Canis lupus familiaris: one gene and its partners. The protein of the gene in region 1 purifies or fractionates together with the protein of each later gene. This does not show direct contact. Links are inferred from orthologs where the notes say so. Each region holds a gene or a part of one and is shown in the gene's direction. Other genes may lie near its edges. The genes, in order: NFKBIA, TRIM22 and RELB.

Region 1 (6,573 bases):
CATCCTGTCATTCCTTATGGCTACATCCTGAGCGAAAATATAAAACCCCTTTGAGGTTAATGTACTCTTTCTTCTGTCTCTTGCATGAAAAAGAAAAAAAGCCAAATGACATTTTAAAAATGAGTCATCTAAGATTTTAACAACTTCACAATGTCGGCGGGCAAACTCTAAATGTCCAAGAGTCCATAAATGTCTTTCTAAACCAATCATCAGTTTAGCTGCCTTCTTTTGCCCCAGCTGCTCATGTTTTCCAATTTCCAAGTATGTTCTTTATCATCCAAATTGTAACGTTTGTTGATTTAAACCACATAGAGCTCTATGTGGTAGTGAGGAAAACACGTTGGGTCACATTCAAAACTGCCTCCTAGGTGGCAGAAAATCATATGGTACCTCCTTGGGAATCCCTACCACAGGGACAGGTCATCAAGCCTCTCAGCGCCTCCCAAAATTTCCAAAAGCCTCATGACAAATCAGGAAATGCCTGGGCCTGACTCTTACCACTAGGTGTCACACTACACAATGAGGAATAAAGACCCATCAGGAACCTGAAGCAAAAAAAGGAAAAAAGCTATTGAAATAGATATTTTTATTCATGCATGATTTTCTTTCTTAATGGTCATTTTTAAACCTGCAGCTAAAAATCCTCTTCTAAGGTAGATAAGTGGGGCCTTTAAAATACAACTTTTCCTTCTTTCTTCTTCTCCCCCCCCCCCAGACACGAATATTCCCAGATAGGGGAACATCAACCCTCTATTTTACCTAATGCTTGGAGTAGAAAATATTTTGAGTATCGTCTTCAAAGATTACAGTGCATTCAGCCTCATTTCTACGATGTGTTTTCAAAAGTGTTAATACTACAACTGCTTTGGCCCAATGATTGATACGTTGGAATAGAAATTAGATAAACTGCCATCGGGTGCCTCGGTAAATTTCTTTGCATTTCAGTCTCTTTTGGGGAAAGTAGGAACTATACCTAACAAGAGGAGTTCTGAGAACTAACAGTGTATTGCAGTAAGTGTTGGGAATCCTTCTAAAAACATACTGTGATATTTCTAAGAGACATGGTCACCCTGAGGCAGTTATTATGTATCTGTGGACAAGTAATAAAATTTTTAAGCTGGAGAGAAACCTTAAATGACGTTAAATCCAATGTTATTATAAAAGCCGGTACACCACAGCAAAGTTAACTGATCTCTCCAAATTAATATGTAATTAATTAGAGGTAGAGCCTGCAATTGAGATTTATTTATAGCTGTTGTGCCCTGCCTCAATAATTGTATAGTTTGTATATTATATGCCTGCAGAGACAATGGAGTCTATCTTTGGAAGTTTTCATTATAACATGTGATCATTACTATCCTGAAGGTTGTTGTTGTTGTTTTTAAGATTATTTATTCATGAGAGACACAGACTGAGAGGGAGAGGCAGAGACACAGACAGAGGGAGAAGCAGGCTCCTTGCAAGGAGCCTGATGTGGGACTCGATCCCAGATCCCGGGATCACGACCTGAGCTGAAGGCAGGCATCCAACAGCTGAGCCACCCGGGCGTCCCTATCCTGAAGGTTTTATTTCTTGATTTTAGGGCTTTTATCCCCCCTTATATTTTTTTTATCTCACTCCCCCGACCCCGGTTCCCTAAATTCAGATAGTCGGGAGGAGTGGAGGGAGAAGAGATGAGCAAAGGGTTGGTTAGTATATGGCCAGTCAAGTTAAGATGATTGCAATATAATCACCAGAAATTTCTGCAAAATTATAAAGCCTCCTGGAGCTAGTTCTGAAAAACTCTGACCTGAGTTGCTTCATTTTGCCTGGACCAATTCTAGAGATAGAAAAATTCTGTTAGAGGCTGGTTGGCTAGGAGAATGGGGGTAGGGTGGGGAACGTAAGTTATATTTCTGCAGGTGAAACCAAAGGATGAGGAGCCCATAGGGGCTATACACAGCGCCTGGAGAGGTCCAACTGCTGCCCTCTCCAGGGCAGGAGAGCAGGGAGCCAGCAAGAGGGTAATGTTAGGTTGGCGGGAGGGTGGCCTTCTGTAGGATGCTTTGCAATCTAAACCATCCTTAAGGCCCAATCTTGGGTAAGGCACTTCTCAACCTATTCTTCAGCCTCTTCCAAATGCTTCTGGAAAGACACCGGCTGGGTACCCAGAAGTAGGCTCTGCAGCAGCACAGTGCAAATCAGGAAACATGACCTCAATAATTATTTTGTTCGTGCAGGGCAGCTAGCTACAACCTCTACTACAAAGATTAACACCTTGCTTTACCTGAAAAAAAGTATGGTCCTGTTCAGCGTTTTCGCTGAACACAGGGCAGAGTGCTTGCCTCTCCACCAGTCAACAGGAATGTTAATCCCGAGGAAATGATTTGAGGGTTCTCCAAGCATTTCAATGCCAAAAAATGCCAAAAGCTTTTTGGCTTTTAATGCCAAAGCATGCACAACTTTTACCTGGTTGGGGGGGGGGGGGGGCCTCGAGGGAGTGCTACGTGTGTCCCCGCGCCACAAAGAGCCTGGCATTGGCAGGGTGGCAGAGGCAGCCGGCGACCTTCTAACCCGCCAGTGCGTCCTTCCCCGCAGAAGTTTGGGGAAGCAAATCCCTACGTCCAGCCATCATTTCCACCCGAGTTTTCAAAAGATCAAGAAACGGAAAGGTTGGCAAACCCCAAGGAGGAACTGCCTGGCGGGTCTGCGTTCATTGGGATCTCAGCAGCCGACGACCCCAAGTCGAATCGATCGTGGGAAACCCCAGGGAAAGAAGGCCGCTTGCAGAGGGACAGGATTACCGAGTGCAAGCTGCAGGGAAGTACCGGGGGAGGGGGCCTCGGTCGGGAGGACTTTCCAGCCGCTCAGCGTTCATCAAAAAGTTCCCTGTACATGACCCCAGTGGCTCATCGCCGGGAGTTTCTCTGATGAACCCGGCTCAGGGTTTAGGCTTCTCCCCCTTCCTCCCCCTCCCGAGCAGAGGACGGGGCCAGTTCTCTTTTCTGGTCTGACTGGCTTGGAAATTCCCCGCGCCTGACCCCGCCCCGGAGAAATCCCCTGCCAGCGTTTATAGGGCGCCGCGGCGGCGCTGGCGAGCCCACAAGAGTCGCAGCCAGCGGTCCTGCGTCCGTGACCCTGCGAGGCGAGGCGAGGCGAGGCGGCGAGCGCGCAGCCCGCGGCCGAGCGCACCTGGGCAGCAGCGCCGAGCCTTCCCGCGCCATGCTGCAGCAAGCCGAGCACGCCCAGGACTGGGCCATGGAGGGTCCCCGGGACGCGCTCAAGAAGGAGCGGCTGCTGGACGACCGCCACGACAGCGGCCTGGACTCCATGAAGGACGAGGAGTACGAGCAGCTGGTGAAGGAGCTGCGGGAGATCCGTCTCGAGCCGCAGGAGGCGCCGCGCGGCGCCGAGCCCTGGAAGCAGCAGCTCACCGAGGACGGAGACTCGTAGGTGTCTCGGGGCGGGCGGGGACGCCGCGCCTGCAGCGCGAGGCCGAGGGGCGGCAGCCGACCGGGGTGTGGGCACCGATCCCCCGTACACCCCTGGCCCCGGGACCGCGCAAAGCTGCCGGCTGCGCTGCGGGCAGCAGAGGAGGGTCGGATCCCGGGCTGGCGGTGCAGCAGCCCTGCGCTGCAGCGCGCACCCCCACCCCCCAGCCCCGGTCCGGAGCCGGTCCTGCCGGCGGGGGCGGGGCGGCGGCGGGGACGCGAAGTCCCCGCTTGCACAAGGGGGGCGGGAGCTCCTGCCCCGCGGGCGGGCGCCGGGGGGCCGGGAGGGGAAGTACAGGGCGTTCCGGCCCGGCGGGAGGGCGGGGCGGTCTGGCCGGCGCCCGCCGAGGAGGGAGGGGGCCCGGAAAGTCCCTGGGCGCCTGCCAGGAACACTCAGCTCATAATAACCTCGCGGAAAACACCGCGGCCTCGGCCTCCAGAAACCCCGGCCTTGCGCAATCCCCCGCAGCCCGCGCCTCCCTGGGCCCCACGCGATGCACTCACCAGCCCTGGGGGTTTTTCCCTCTCTTCCCCTTAGGTTCCTGCACTTGGCCATCATCCATGAAGAGAAGGCCCTGACCATGGAAGTGGTCCGCCAAGTGAAGGGCGACCTGGCCTTCCTCAACTTCCAGAACAACCTGCAGCAGGTGCGCCGGCTCGCCCAGCCCTGTGCCTCTGACCCAGTGATGAAGTTGGATCTAGCTCAGTTGCTCCCAATCCTTTCTAAATTAATAATCACTGGGCATTATGTACCTTGACCTTTTTACATTGGAATCGGCCAACGTCCTAGAGAATAAAGAAAATTCTATTGATTTGGTGAGGCCTATGATGAAAGCCCACCTGCGGCCTCTGGCATTTATCTTGCCCTTCATACCTGTCTGGGAGGAGGAGCAGCACCCACAACCAGTAGATCTCCGGAGTTCAAGGGAAGACAGACTCTTGAGTTTGGGCCATGGCTTACCCTCTTTCTATTCCCTCTTGTGTTTGTAGACTCCACTCCACTTGGCTGTGATCACCAACCAACCAGAAATTGCTGAGGCACTTCTGGAAGCTGGCTGTGATCCTGAGCTCCGAGACTTTCGAGGAAATACCCCCCTACACCTTGCCTGTGAGCAAGGCTGCCTGGCCAGCGTGGGAGTCCTGACTCAGACTTGCAGGACCCAGCACCTCTACTCCATCCTCCAGGCCACCAACTACAATGGTATGTCTGCCTGCCCTACCCTGCCCATCAGAAGGCAGGTGACATGGAGAAGGGAGAGGTAGGCCAATGTTAGGAGTCCAGGCAAGAGCTGAAACTCTGAATACTTGAAAGGTTGAGAAAATATGCATGCAAAAGGTCTGTTTCATGCCTTGATAAAGTTCATTCAGAGCCCAGATTCTGGGTTCTCCAAATTCAGAATTTATTCCCTATAAGAATAGACAGAAAGTTCTGCTTGAGATCTGAGGGTTGAAGCAAGTGGTTATATTTGCTTCATTGTTCTTCTAGGTCACACATGTCTACATTTAGCTTCTATCCATGGCTATTTGGGCATTGTGGAGCTTCTGGTGTCTTTGGGTGCTGATGTCAATGCTCAGGTGAGTTCTTCATGTCTCCAGATGGAACGCATCAGGGCTCCAGGCCCTCCTCAATAAGACCTCACATGTTCTTGTTGCAAGTAGAAATTCCAAACTCAACCATAAACATCTCAAATTCCTTTTGGTTTCAGGAGCCCTGTAATGGCCGAACCGCCCTCCATCTTGCAGTGGACCTGCAGAATTCTGACCTTGTGTCGCTTTTGTTGAAGTGTGGGGCTGATGTCAACAGAGTTACCTACCAGGGCTACTCCCCGTACCAGCTCACGTGGGGCCGCCCAAGCACACGGATACAGCAGCAGCTGGGCCAGCTGACCCTAGAAAACCTTCAGATGCTGCCAGAGAGTGAGGATGAGGAGAGCTATGACACAGAGTCAGAGTTCACAGAGGACGAGGTGAGTGTCAACTCCATCGCTCTGCACAAAGCAGTACCCTCCCAGGTCTCTAGAGCTCCTCTTTATCCAAAGAGCTCAATGCAATGAAGTTCTCCCACTTTAGTGTTCATGACCAGGAGTCTCCCAAAAGTGTGTCTTTGTTTTTTGCTCTTTTTAAAGGAGAGGAGCATTAAAGAAAAACTTCCTTAGCCCCTGAGGTTAATTTATACTTGGGTTATGGAGAATGGAATCCAAGAGTACTTGATAATGGCCCTCACCCTTATCCCAGTACCTTTGACAAAACTGGAAGCTTAACATGGCTTTTTTTTCTCTTGTTTTTAGCTGCCCTATGATGACTGTGTGCTTGGAGGCCAGCGCTTGACGTTATGAGCTTCAAAACATATCTAAAAGAACACGGACTTGTATATTTGTACAAAAAGAGAGTTTTATTTTTCTAAAAAAAAGAAAAAAAAAGAAAAAAATCAAAAGGGGGTACTTAAAACCACACTTCACATTCCCTAGCCAGAAACATTTACTATGGTGGATCAGCCCTTGTTATTTTTTGTGAACTTTGGAAGGAGGACAAGATCAATGGAATTCAAAGAAAACCTTGTTCAGAAGTTGCCTTTGTGGGGTTTCTGAAGGAGGTTATGCAAAATGTGACAAAAGGACTACATCGCATTGTGCTTTTTGATTGAATCACCATAGATTCAGTGGCTGTGCCCAGTGTGGGATGCGTGACAACCAGGTGTAATGACCTGGTGTGTCATTAAACCTTGGGGGGGGGGGGCGGTGTGGGGTTAAAAGTCACTACCTGTCAAGGTTTGTGTTTACCCCCCTGTAAATGATGTACATTGTGTATTTTGTTGGTAATTATTTTGGTACTTCTAAGACATGTATTTATTAAACAGATTTTTACAAACAGAATTATCGTGATCATTCTCTTTGGGCTGCCATGGGGCTCCCAACCTGAGAGTCATCCGATCCTCTGGGGAGGTGTAGAGCTGTGTGGGAGTGCTTACCACAGCTAGCTACAAAGCCCTTTCAGAGAGCAGCTTCTCACGCTGTGTAAGCCAGCCTCCCCGCCAGGCTTCGCCGGCAGCCCCAGGGCCCTATGCGTGGGAGAGGAGGCTCTAGCAAGATGATAGGAAACCACC
Region 2 (6,573 bases), on another chromosome or scaffold:
GGCTTAAATAGGGGCAGGGTAAGTGAATTGATAGGACCAAAGGAGATGAATTCCTTTCTTTTTTTTATAAATTTATTTTTTATTGGTGTTCAGTTTGTCAACATACAGAATATCACCCAGTGCTCATCCCTTCAAGTGCCCACCTCAGTGCCCGCCACCCAGTCACCCCACCCCCTGCCCACCTCCTCTTCCACCACCCCTAGTTCATTTCCCAGTTAGGAGTCTTTCATGTTCTGTAGGAGATGAATTTCTAATACTTCTTCCCTTCTCATGCCTCCCACAAATCCCATATTCATCCTTTCACTCCTTTTGAATCTCTCATCTGACCTGACATCCTGGGCCCCAGACACCTAAAGGTTCTCTCCAGACTTTCTGTGAGAAGTTTGTATGAGGCAAGAGTTTTTGGAATGTAAAGAGAGAGATGTTTGGAAGTACAGGGTGTAAAAGCTGACTTTTTAATCAGGATCCCTTCTCTTTAGTCCTCAAGAACTCCCTTTCTTCCAAAACTCAAATCCCAGGATCCCTCATGCATTTCTGAGTTAGTTGAGATAGGGCAGCTTTAGACTGTAAAACCTTGGATCAATCTATAATTTGAAAATTACAGTTACATAGATGACCTGATGTTTTTGAGCTTGTCTAGGAAAAGATAACAAAAAATTCATCTGGAAAATGTGGGAGGGAATCAGAGACCTAAGAGAGTGTAAGAAGGTGGGAAGGTAGGGGGATGGCACTGATGTCCTGGGAACTGCCTCTGAAACATCAGCTTTAAGGTGGGAGAAATCAGTGAAGAAATCAGAGCTTGTCAGTTACCAGGAAACATGGGCTGGTAGGAAATCTGAATGAACCATGCTCTTTCTCCTACCTCCCAAAGTCTACCTTTGGAGCTAACCATATTGCGGTGATCCAAATGCCAGTATACTATGCTCCGAAAGACCAGGGAATAAAAAAATCCTCCTTAGGGCTTTGTGTCTCCCTCCATTTCCTACATCTCCTATTGAGGAGGAATCTACATGAAATATCTCCCACTCTGGGTGAATTTTTTTTTTTTTTCCTTTGGGTGAATTTTAACTCTTTTCAGTCTGAGAAAACCACAAGCCACAGGAAGTAAGGTGGTTAGAATGTGCTGGTATAGAACGATTAAAAAACAGGCACTGAGAGAATTATCTGAGTAAACTTTAGGAGCAAAACAGAGAAGACATGAAAAAATTGTTGGGTAACATTCTTCAAAGGCGTTGATATAAATATTTATGCCAGAATTCACACACACCACAGCACTTATGTTGACTGCAAAAGCAACAGTAGAACCAAACCATGATTATCATCAGTTTGTTCAATGCAATTTAAGTGGTATCTATAGCCATATAAATGTGTGTCTATTTAAATATCATTCCCTGTATGCAACACTTTGCAATATATTTGAAACAAGAAGGAACAACATAGAAAATTTCCCTTTCGGCCTTCATAAAGCTTACTGTTGTTTGGTGCAGGGCTGCAAGGGGAGGAGTAGTTGATGATAGTATTATATGATAGCAAAGGTGATAAAAAATGCTAGCTCTCAGAATGCAATTTGTTTTTTTTTTTTTAATTTTATTTATTTATTCACGAGAGAGAGAGATAAAGAGACAGAGACAGAGACACAGGCAGAGGGAGAAGCAGGCTCCATGCAGGGAGCCCGACATGGGACTCAATCCCGGGTCTCCAGGATCAGGCCCTGGGCCAAAGGCGGCGCTAAACCGCTGAGCCACCCCGGCTGCCCTTTCAGAATGCAATTTATACAAAATGGAGATGATTATAATTGCACGTGAAAAGCATCACAACTTTCTTCATTGTTAGGAAAAACTTACTTCAGTATACTCCTATATGATTTTCCAGTTCCTGCCTCATAGATATAAGAGATTCGAGAAGTTTATAAGCCACAATTACCTTACATGTCTGTGGGTTACAAACAATACCAGAATATCTGTGCTTTACTTCACCAAACATCGACTTCTCAGTTGCCCTGCAGATCTCACATCAGTTCATGTGTGAAGTTTGCCATGCTCTGCAATTCCTTCAGTCAGAGATCTCTGGTAGAGCTGCCACCACCATGAAGTTGCCCGGTCTACAATATGTAATCAGAGCAAGGACAAGATAGATAACACAACACTAAAGTGTGTGCAGGAAATAGAAGATGTTTCACTCCTGCTTTTGATTGATAGTAAAAGAAGGACAAATTTTTCCCAAAGGAAGTGGGGGAAGGTGGAAAAATTATGGAGGTGTGTTACTCAGTAAAAGATTGTGCTTGAATACTATCATGTATTAACTTACATGTTCTCACCTGCCTCCTGGTTGTTGGGTAACAAGGCACTGATTTGGTTCTACTATGATTAATTTCTAGAAGCCTTCCTTTTCTGACCTGCCTGCATAAGAAACAGAAACTGGTAATTCACCGGTATACTACTAAGATTCAATGACATTTTGGAAAAATTTTTCTCCCTAGGCTCACACTGAAGAAACTTTTAAATTTTATTTTTACTATTTACAATAATGGCTGCTGACAGTCATTATGTCTGCTCATATTTACAGAGATTTATAACTGATTATCTTTCCCATCACTGTCTGCATTGCAAGAATTCAGATCCAATCTTTCCGGATCATTATTTTATCCTTCATGACTTGCTTAGGGCTTGAATATAGGATAAGCTCTACAAATAATTATAGGATTAAATTGAAATGCTGAGTATTCAGGCTATATCATTGTGCTTCACTTTTTTTTTTTTTTTTTTTTCTTGCTCAAATATTCTTGCTGGAGTAAGCCAGGGTAGGAATAAGAATGCAGTGATTGGGTGCCTAGCTGGTGCAGGTTCTAGAACATATCCTTCCCTGGCATCCTACTTGGTGCCCTCCCACAGTTATTGTTTTGTAAGTTTCTTCTCTGCTTCTTTTCTTTCATTTCCCCTTCTCAGATTTTAAGTTTCATTTCTCACTCAGTTCCTGTAGGGAAACTCTTTTGTGGAGAGCAGTTTTCTGGCTTGGTGAGTGAATCTTGCCTATACCTGCATCTGATCTCCGCTGAATCAAGACTTCTCTACTTCAACCTAAAGGTGTGTGTGGGGCAGTTTGGGAGGGCAAAGGACAGGACGTTTGGAAGGAACATATTGAATGTGTTTGGATGAGTTTAATTTGTGGTTCTGAAGCTGCTTTAAATTCACCAAAGAGCCAGCTGGTAGGTTTTCTGCAAAAGAGAGGTGCATTGAGTCTGGGGGCACCATGACTGATAAAGAAGGGAGGTTTAACAACATCAAAAGCCTTATTTGTTTCTTGGAGGGATCATTATTTCTCCCAGTTGAATTACTCTCATTTTCTTTCTTCCTTAGTTTTGAATTTTCTACCTTGCCAAGGTGAGCCAGAATAACTTTCCCCCCCCAGAAACAGAAAATCTCTTCCTCTTTTCCTCCAGCAAAGCCCATGGAATGGAGCCCTGTTTTCCCTCTTCATAAAAGCCCAAGCTCCTGCAGAAAGCCAGCACAGACAAGAGTCCTTATCTGGACTTGTGAGAGGGAAAGGGAACTTAAGGGTTGTGCCTGGGAGAAGAAGCTCTTGAAATTCATCCTTTTAATCTTCTTGTCCTGATAACTTCTGGGAAGCTGTCTAGGACCTTTCTGATAAATTACCAGACTTTTGGCCAGCCTGATGAGAGAGGCTGGATGATTAGGCGGCTGTCCATCTTTGCAGCTCCTCCATGGTCACTTGTCTCTCTGGAGCTCCAACCACATGTTTTTTTTTTTTTTTTTTTTTTTTTTTTTTTTTTTTTTTTTTTCTGAGTGTGCATGGCTTACTGCCATCTCAGCAGCACCTGCACAATGCTCTGGTGTTCACTCCTGCTTTACGAGAAGGACAATCATTGTATGGTTTCACTCATACAGGGAATGTAAAAAATAGTGAAAAGGATTATAGGGGAAAGGAGAGAAAATGAGTGGGGAAAAACAGAGAAGTTGACAAAACATGAGAGACTCCTAACTCTGGGAAATGAACAAGGGGTAGTGGAAGGGGAGGTGGGCGAGGGGATGCGGTGACTAGGTGTCAGGCACTGAGGGGGGCACTTGATGGGATGAGCACTGGGTGTTATACTATATGTTGGCAAATCAAGTTCTGATAAAAAAAATATATACATTAAAAAAATGAACTTGTCCTCTATCATCTTAGACACACCTTCCCATTGCTTTCTAGCTCAACCCTTTACTCCATTTTCCCTGCACAGAGCTAAGGAAGGGAGTTGGTAATTTCTCAGAAAGAACTCCATCTTAATCTCTCTGAACACCTTGTAATTTGATCTCCATATTATGTAATATTTTGATGTGTAATTTCCTTTTACTTTTTAGAAGTCATTGGTCTGTGTCTTATATCTAGACAAGGTTTATATATAGTGAATATTAATTGTTTGCTCGGGGGCTAGTACAGGGCCCAATGGATGGGAGAAAGTGAATTAAAAATTTTTTTAAACATTTTAGATTAAATTCACAAGAGCAAAAGTATATAGCTCTGATGAAAAAAATTGTATTAACACTGAACATTCAATAAATACTAAGCATCTGTAAAAGATTATATTCTGGGTGAGTGGAGAGAAAGTAAATAAACAGCAAAAGGATAATTCAATATGAGAAAACATGAAAACAAAGAAACAATAGCACGAATAGACAAAAAGGCCTGCCAAAGGGCCTGGTGTCTATGGTGTGCCCTCCTAAAGGGCTTTAACAATTTAAAATAGATTTCATGGTAGGTATCAGTGTGAGAAGGTGATTTTGAGCTGAGTTTTCATGGAATTGATGGCTTTAAGATGGATTTTTGCCCAGAGTGATCAAGGAACAAATAAGGTAGCCAGTCTAAATCGGGGAGGAGTAGGAGCTGGGCTAAGGGGATGAGGCAATAGGAGGGGATGTATAATGTGAACCTAACTCAACCACCATAAAGACTGACTCAAGTTGAATGATATGTATTTGAGCAGAGAAATGGCAAGATTGATTGATTCTAAAAAAAAAAAAAAAGAGAGAGAATCGTTCTTGCTGGTGGGGTGAACAGTGATGAGAGCAGATTGTATGAGATGAATGACAGTATCAGGGAGACTGGTGGGGAACCTATTCCTGGAATCCAGGTAAGAGATTCAGTTGGATGGGATCTAATTTGAAGAGACAGACAAGGATTAACCTCCTGTCACTTACGGACATGGACTTGTGTGACAAAATGACTGCTTTGAAACAACTGGACCTCAGAGCTCTTGGGGGCAGGGTCATTTATGTGGGGGAAGATTAAACCCTGTACTCTAAAGGGTGGTAGAAGGGGGAGCTCTGGATGTAGAGAAATGCAGAGGAATTATAACACTTCTGAGTTCCCAGGTCTCTGGATGCCAAGAACAAGCCTTACTTTCCAACTGACAATTCCTAATCCAGGGAATAGGGAAAGTATTATAGATATTGTCGAACCCCCTCATAGGACTTTCTCTCCTTATTGTGAAGACACTTTCATTTTTCTTGTCTAAACTGTGCAGACACAGAAAGCCTCTGTGCAGACAATCAGGATATACTGAGAAAAGGAAACTTAGGATCTAGTAGGCCCTTACCCTACCATAGAAAGTCCTACATTTGTACCATCTCCAAAGTGAGCCTACATTTTGTCTCTGTGTCTGTCTGTCTGGTTTAGGTGGAGGGAGTTTCAATGGTGAAACACTTCTTCAATGATAGAATAAAGAATAAATGAATAGAGGAAACAGATGCACTTATATTAGTTTTCTGGGACTGCCATAAAAACACAAATCACAAATCGTTGGCTTAAATGAAATTTATTTTCTCGCAATTCTGGAGCCTAAGAGTACAAGATCAAAGATGTTGGTAGGGTTGGTCTTTCTGCAGGTGGTGATGGAGGATCTGTTCTGGGTTTCTGCTAGTTTCTGGTAGCTTTCTGGCTATCTTTGGTGTTCCCTGGTTTGTAGATGCATCACCCTGATCTCAGCTTTTGTCTTCACATGGCCTTCTCCATGTGTGCATGTCCATCTGTGTCTCCAAATTGCCTCATTTTATGAGGACATAGTCATATTGAATTAAAGCCCATCATAATGACTTCATTTTAACTTGATCATCTGCAAAGATACCATTTCCAAGCGAAGTTACATTTACACATATTAGAGGTTAGGACTTTGACATATTTTTTGTGGAACATAATTCAACCTGCAATAGCACCCAATGTGTTTGAAACAGGACAGACTTTATCTCTCTATCAATGGTCTTTGTTCTATATTGAGTCTTCTCTCCCACAACTGACAGAGAACTCAATGGAATTTATGTTTCTTGAGATCTGTCATGTGTGTGATCCTGAGTATATGAATCTGTTATTTTCCTCCCTAAAAATATAAATGCCCATCTAGTTCTTACAACCTTTACCTCCGTTTGTCTTTGTTAATATCTTTGCAAAGTGCAAAGATAACTCTGAAAGAGGATCCTGTGGATTGTATGTCCACCAACTCTACCCTTTATAAAATAATGATCTCTATAAATAGAATGATCTATACATCATTTGATTCTATTTATACATCTGAGGAAA
Region 3 (6,248 bases), on another chromosome or scaffold:
GCTCTCAATTACCCAAGAACTACACTATAAAGAGTTAGCATTTACTGAGAATTTCTGAGTGCCAGGCCTGAAGCTAGTACTTTGTGTAATGCTAATAAAAGTAATCATACCTGGGGTACCTGGGTAGCTCAGTTGGTTAAGCATCTGCCTTTGGCTCAGGTCATGATCCAAGGGTCCTGGGGTTAAGCCCTACATCAGGCTCTTTGCTCAGCAGGGAGCTTGCTTTTCCCTCTCCCTCTGCTTGCAGCTCCCCCTGCTTGTACTCTCTCTCTCTCTCTCTGTCAAATAAATAAAATCTTTTAAAAAAAGTAATCATACTTAACGTGGACTGAGCACCTTTACTTGGAGTGATTCAACTAATCCTCCAAGCAACCATGTGAAGTAGGTACTCTGATTTTGCTTCTGCTTAGGTGAGGAAACTAGGCCCAGAGATATCAGGTAACTTCCCCAAACCCTTGGGAGATGGTGGTGAAGAGCTCTAGCCCACTTGGATTCCCATCTTGCCTCTACCACTTGTTGGCTTTGTGACCTCGGACAAGTGACTTCACCCTTTCCGTGCCTTTGCTCCCTCTATATAATGGGTTTCCTCAAGGTACTTTTTTTTCATAAGATTGCTGTGTGACTTAGAGGCAATCTCTGTGTGTCTAGACAAATATAAAGCCTCAGTAGATGGAATTAGTGTGAAAAGAGGCAATGCAATAAGATAAGAAAAAGAAATAATGGGCAGTATAGCATACTGGATCCTGACTATCCTGCTACCAGCTGTGTGACCTTGGGTAAGTCTCTTTACCCTTCGAAGCCTCAGTTTCCCCATATTTAAAGGGGGTATGTAAAAGAGTTAACATAGAAGGTCTGAGACTGTTATCCTTTGAAAGGCCTGTGTGCAAGGTTGATGCTTGGCTGGTTATTGGGAGCTTGGATAATGAGAGGGGCTCACTGTGCTTTAACTATATGAACAAGGTGGTTTGTGCTGAACACCTGCTTTGCTTCTGGGAGTCTGAAATTTTGATATAGGCCAGGCAGAGGGTGCCTATGTAACCAGCCCCCAATAAAAACCCTGTGTACTGAATCTCCAGTGAGCTTCCCTGATAGACAGCATTTCACATGTGTTGTCACAGTTTGTTAATGGGGTGGGGAAGGGATTAACATGTTCTCTGTTTCCACTGGGAAAAGACTCCTGGAAACTTGTGACTGGTTTTCTCTGGACTTCACTCCAGGCATCTTTTCCCTTTACTGAGGATGCTAGGTATCTTTTTGCAGTAATAAATCATGCATGAGTACAATTATAGGCTGAGTCCTGTGTGTCCCCTTAATGAATCACTGAATCTGATGGTGGTCTAGGGGGACTTCTGACATGGTGGCGATATTAATTCTGTCTGTCTCTCATGTTGCTAAAAGGATTAAATAAGATAATATATTAAAAATATGTAAAACACTTAGTGGCTGGCACACAGTAGGTGCTCAACAGAAGGTTAACTGCTGCTATGATTAGTTTTATTCTTTTTTCTTAAGATTTGTTTTTTTTAAGATTCTATTTATGTATTCATGAACTACACAGAGAGAAGCAGAGATATAGGCAGAGGGAGAAGCAGGTTCCTCAAGGGATCCCAATGTGGGACTTGATCCCGGGACTCTAGGACCACACTCTAAGCCATAGACAGACACTCAACCATTGAGCCACCCAGGTGTCCCAGATTTATTTATTTGAGAGAGAAAGAGTATGTATGAGCAGGGGAGGGACAGAGGGAGAGAATCTTAGGCAGATTCCTCACTTCCTTAGCCCCCCTCCCAATATGGGGCTTAGTCTCACGAACCTGAGATCATGACCTGAGCCAAAACCAAGAGTTGGACGCTCAACCAACTGAGCCCCTCAGGTGCCTCTATAATTAATTTTATTCTTAAGGATATCAATATTGGGGGCACCTGGCTGGTTCAGTTGGTAGAGTATGGGAATCTTGAGCTCAGAGTTGTGAGTTCAAGCCCCATGTTGTGTGTGAAGCTCATTTAAATCAAATGGATGTAATAAAAAAAAAAAACAAATGGATGTAATAAAACTTAACATATATATATACATATACACACACACACATATTTTTAAAAGAATATCAATGTTGGGATCCCTGGGTGGCGCAGCGGTTTAGCGCCTGCCTTTGGCCCAGGGCGCGATCCTGGAGACCCGGGATCGAATCCCATGTCGGGCTCCCGGTGCGTGGAGCCTGCTTCTCCCTCTACCTGTGTCTCTGCCTCTCTCTCTCTCTCTCTGTGACTATCATAAATAAATAAAAATTAAATAATAAAAAAAAAGAATATCAATGTTGATTTGGGGGAAGGCTGAATGAGTTGGGGGCCCGGTGGGCCAGTGCCCTGGCTCAGCTGACGTCCCCACTTTCCCGCCAGAGGATATATCGGTGGTGTTTAGCAGGGCCTCCTGGGAAGGCCGGGCTGACTTCTCCCAGGCCGATGTGCACCGCCAGATTGCCATTGTTTTCAAGACACCACCCTATGAGGACCTGGAAATCGTTGAGCCTGTGACCGTGAACGTCTTCCTGCAGCGGCTTACTGACGGGGTCTGCAGCGAGCCTCTGCCCTTCACGTACCTGCCTCGGGACCATGGTAACCACGGCAACCCAGGGTGACCCATTGCCCAGAGACCAGGTGTCTGGCCTAGAGGGGACAAGGGAAGAGGCAGAAGTAAAATGCAGGCTCTTGACTGCACAGGCTGGGTTCAGTTCCTGGCTCTACCTCTTACTGGTTGTGTGACCTTAGCCTCTCTCTGACCCTGTCTCCTGTGTAAAATGGAAGTAACAGTACATAGCTGATGGCATTTGGGGAATATTTGATTATTTCTCCCCTCAGCTTGCCTCCTCATGCCTGGCCCTGTACTGAGTGGTGCTGAGGACACAGCAGTGACCAAGATAGCCCCAGCCCTGCTCTCATAAGTCTCACAGTCCTATTGTGGGGATAGATTTGCTCGGAGGACTCAGATTGCTCAGAGTGGGCATCTGGTCCAGGCTTGGGGATTAGGAAGGGCTTCCTGGAGGAGGGGATGACTTAGTTGAGGACATGGGGATGACTAGGCAGTTGTCCAGGGAAGTGGTGGGAGTTGGAAAATAGTGTTTCAAATAGCTAGAATAGCAAGTGCAAAGGTCCTGAGGCAGGATTGTGCCTGGGATGTTCCAGGAACAACAAAGAGGCCAGTGTGGCTTGAAGTGAATTTGGGTTTCATTCTGATTGAGATGCGGACATCTATTTGCATTAGTTGGTCAAGAATTAGAACAGGTCAATGACTTCCTAAATGGTCTCTATAATTAATTCTTAATTATTATTATTGATGGATAATGTTGCCCCTGGTATCTCCTGAACAGACAGCTATGGCGTGGACAAGAAGCGGAAACGGGGGATGCCTGATGTCCTCGGGGAGCTGAACAGCTCTGGTGTGTCCCCTCTGCCCCTTTCCACATCCTGGGAGGGGATGGCTAAGCCCTAGCCTGGGGAGGAGGGGCTGTGAGGGTCCAGGGGTCCTCATCTCTGCCTTCCTTCAGATCCGCATGGCATCGAGAGCAAACGACGGAGGAAAAAGCCAGCCTTCCTGGATCACTTCCTGCCCAACTCCAGCTCAGGTGGGTTGTGGTTCCCCACTTAGGGCAAGCCCCTGCTCTCTGAAGTGGGATGAGGGTGAGCTGCAGCCCTGCTTCTGGCCTCTTCAGCAACCCCCCCCCCCCGCCCTCCCGCCAAGAGGTCCCACAAGGCCAGGAACTCACATCTCAGGCAGCAGCATGAAGTACATGAAGTAGAAAGTACAGTTCTGGATACCATTTGGAGGAGGCTCGATGTCTCCTGGGCCATTCACTTGCTGTGTGACCCTCACCAAGTTGCTCGACCTCTCAGGGCCTCAGAGACTCCTCTGAAAAGTTTCACCATACACCTCCCTCATTGGCCTTTTAGATTTTTTTTTAAAGATTTTATTTTATTGGGGATCCCTGGGTGGCGCAGCGGTTTGGCGCCTGCCTTTGGCCCAGGGCGCGATCCTGGAGACCTGGGATCGAATCCCACATCAGGCTCCCAGTGCATGGAGCCTGCTTCTCCCTCTGCCTGTGTCTCTGCCTCTCTCTCTCTCTGTGACTATCATAAATAAATAAAAATTTAAAAAAAAAAGATTTTATTTTATTATTCATGAGAGACACAGAGAGAGAGGCAGAAACACAGGCAGAGGGAGATGCAGGCTCCATGCAGGTAGCCTGACGTGGGATTCGATCCGAGGTCTCCAGGATCAGGCCCTGGGCTGAAGATGGCACCAAACTGCTGAACCACCCTGGCTGCCTGGCCTTTTAGATTTTATTGCATTTCTTTTTATAGACACTATATAATGGGTACATAGGTGCTTTGTGTATGTTTACTCATTGAATCTATACCATCACATCACTTCCCCCCTCATTTTACTGATAAAGAAACTGAGGCCCGGGAAGCTGAAGTCTCTTAGCCAAGGTCACATACTGCATTTGCGGTGGAGCAGGGACTTGAACCTGGGCATCTATACAGGTAGATTAGTGATACAATATTATGTGGAACAGATAGCAGGGGGTAAATGGTAGATAAATGGGAGGGGTTGTCAGAGCCAACCAGCCTTAATTCAGAGCCTGTCTCTAGCCCAAACACCCTCTGGCCTGTTCTACCCCTGCTTTCATCTTAACTCATATGCCAGCCTCTGCTTCCCATGAACTGCAGCCTTATCTGGCTGCCATCAGAAGCCTCCCCAGCCGCTGACCACTAGCTCTAACAGTGCTGTCCCCTAATACCCCAGCTACCCCAGGGCACCCAGCTCCCAGCCAGCCACCAACAGCCAGCCACTCAGAGTCTGCTGAGCCTGGATCACTCCAACCAGTCCCACTGTGGAGGTTTCAAGTATCACCTGTTGTTCCCCCTACCCACTGCACCTGGTAACTAATGCCCAGAGCTCTACCTATAGCAACAACCAATCCTAGCCCACTTCACCAGTCTTCAATCCCCAAGTCCCAAAGCGTCTCCTCTTTAGCCACTGCTGTTCATCTACGTCCTCCATCACCCGTTTCCCAATGCCTAAAGCCCTCCTCTCTCATCCATGGGGCAAAGCTGCTCTGGCATGATAGTATAATGGTTAGGAGCATGGCCTCTGGAATCAGACTGAGTTTGGATTCTGAAGCCTGAATTTAGCCATGTGACTTCTTTGGATCTCATCTGTCAGATGGAAATCTTACCTCTTAGGGTCCTTTTTAGAATCTAGTCAGGTCATATCACACAGATAGTTAGCATAGTTAGTGCTCAGGAGATCTTAGGAACTTGCTGGACAGGAATGCCAGGAATGCATTTGTTATGATCATGTTTAGCTGTATTCACAACAAAACCCAAATTAACAGGGGCTTCAACAGGCTATATTTCTCTTCTCAGATAAACAGTGGTAGATAGTCCTGGGATGGTGTGGAGGCTGTAGGATCATCAGAGACCCAACCAAGCTCCTGCCATTTTCAACTCATTTTCCATCTCATGGTCCAATATGGCTGCTGAGGCTCCAGCCATCACACCCATAGTCCAGCCAGGAGAACTTAAGTCACATGATGACATTTAGCTGTAAGGGAGGCTGGGAAATAGAGTCCCAGCAGCCCTGAGTCTTTCTGAGATAAGCATAATTTGCCTTTGCTGGTCAGGTTTGTCTTGTCTCAGAAAGAGACTCTCCTTTATAATGACATACAATTTTACCTTCCAATTTGGGAACTGGTGACTTCTCATTTAGGTCTTCCATGTGTGGGGCTTTCACTTTTTGGGTGGTCTCTATAACTTGGGTGAGGGGAGGACTTTAGAGCCTCTTCAACATCCTTATTTTTTGGAAAAACTCCCCAGCCCTGCAGAAGCATAGTTTGAACCCTGGTTCTACAACTTACCAGCTATGTGTGACTGAATTATTTTGCCTGTTTGCTTTTTTTTTTTTTAAGATTTTATTTATTTATTTATTCATGAAAGACATAGAGAAGCAGAGAGAGAGAGGCAGAGGGAGTAGCAGGCTCCATGCAGGGAGCCTGATGTGGGACTCGATCCCTGGACCCTGGGATCAAGACCTGAGCAGAAGGCAGATGTTCAACCACTGAGCTACCCAGGCGCTCTTGACCTCAATTTGCTTATTAAGTGCGAATGGTGATAATGCCTACCCCAGGGTTCTCCTTGGGATTAAAGGAGGCCACGGTGATCATGCATTTAGCTCTATTAGGTCACTGGAG

Evidence for each region.
Region 2: the proteins of NFKBIA (region 1) and TRIM22 purify together in Homo sapiens (affinity purification with western blotting; 3 studies listed by BioGRID). This does not show direct contact. The link is inferred for Canis lupus familiaris from reciprocal best matches to the Homo sapiens genes NFKBIA and TRIM22.
Region 3: the proteins of NFKBIA (region 1) and RELB purify together in Homo sapiens (affinity purification with mass spectrometry; 4 studies listed by BioGRID and IntAct, counting the BioPlex papers as one, with this or other methods). This does not show direct contact. The link is inferred for Canis lupus familiaris from reciprocal best matches to the Homo sapiens genes NFKBIA and RELB.

The regions. Positions count from the first base shown.
Region 1 is NC_049229.1:14,262,384-14,268,956, reverse strand, and holds NFKBIA (NF-kappa-B inhibitor alpha), read left to right. Parts: upstream 1-3,073; 5' UTR 3,074-3,201; coding exon 3,202-3,428; intron 3,429-4,008; coding exon 4,009-4,117; intron 4,118-4,460; coding exon 4,461-4,671; intron 4,672-4,956; coding exon 4,957-5,045; intron 5,046-5,176; coding exon 5,177-5,437; intron 5,438-5,758; coding exon 5,759-5,806; 3' UTR 5,807-6,343; downstream 6,344-6,573. UniProt on the Homo sapiens protein: Inhibits the activity of dimeric NF-kappa-B/REL complexes by trapping REL (RELA/p65 and NFKB1/p50) dimers in the cytoplasm by masking their nuclear localization signals.
Region 2 is NC_049242.1:29,153,034-29,159,606, forward strand, and holds the start of TRIM22 (E3 ubiquitin-protein ligase TRIM22), read left to right. Parts: upstream 1-2,880; 5' UTR 2,881-3,083; intron 3,084-6,573. UniProt on the Homo sapiens protein: Interferon-induced E3 ubiquitin ligase that plays important roles in innate and adaptive immunity.
Region 3 is NC_049222.1:111,146,523-111,152,770, reverse strand, and holds part of RELB (transcription factor RelB), read left to right. Parts: intron 1-2,397; coding exon 2,398-2,613; intron 2,614-3,365; coding exon 3,366-3,434; intron 3,435-3,542; coding exon 3,543-3,620; intron 3,621-6,248.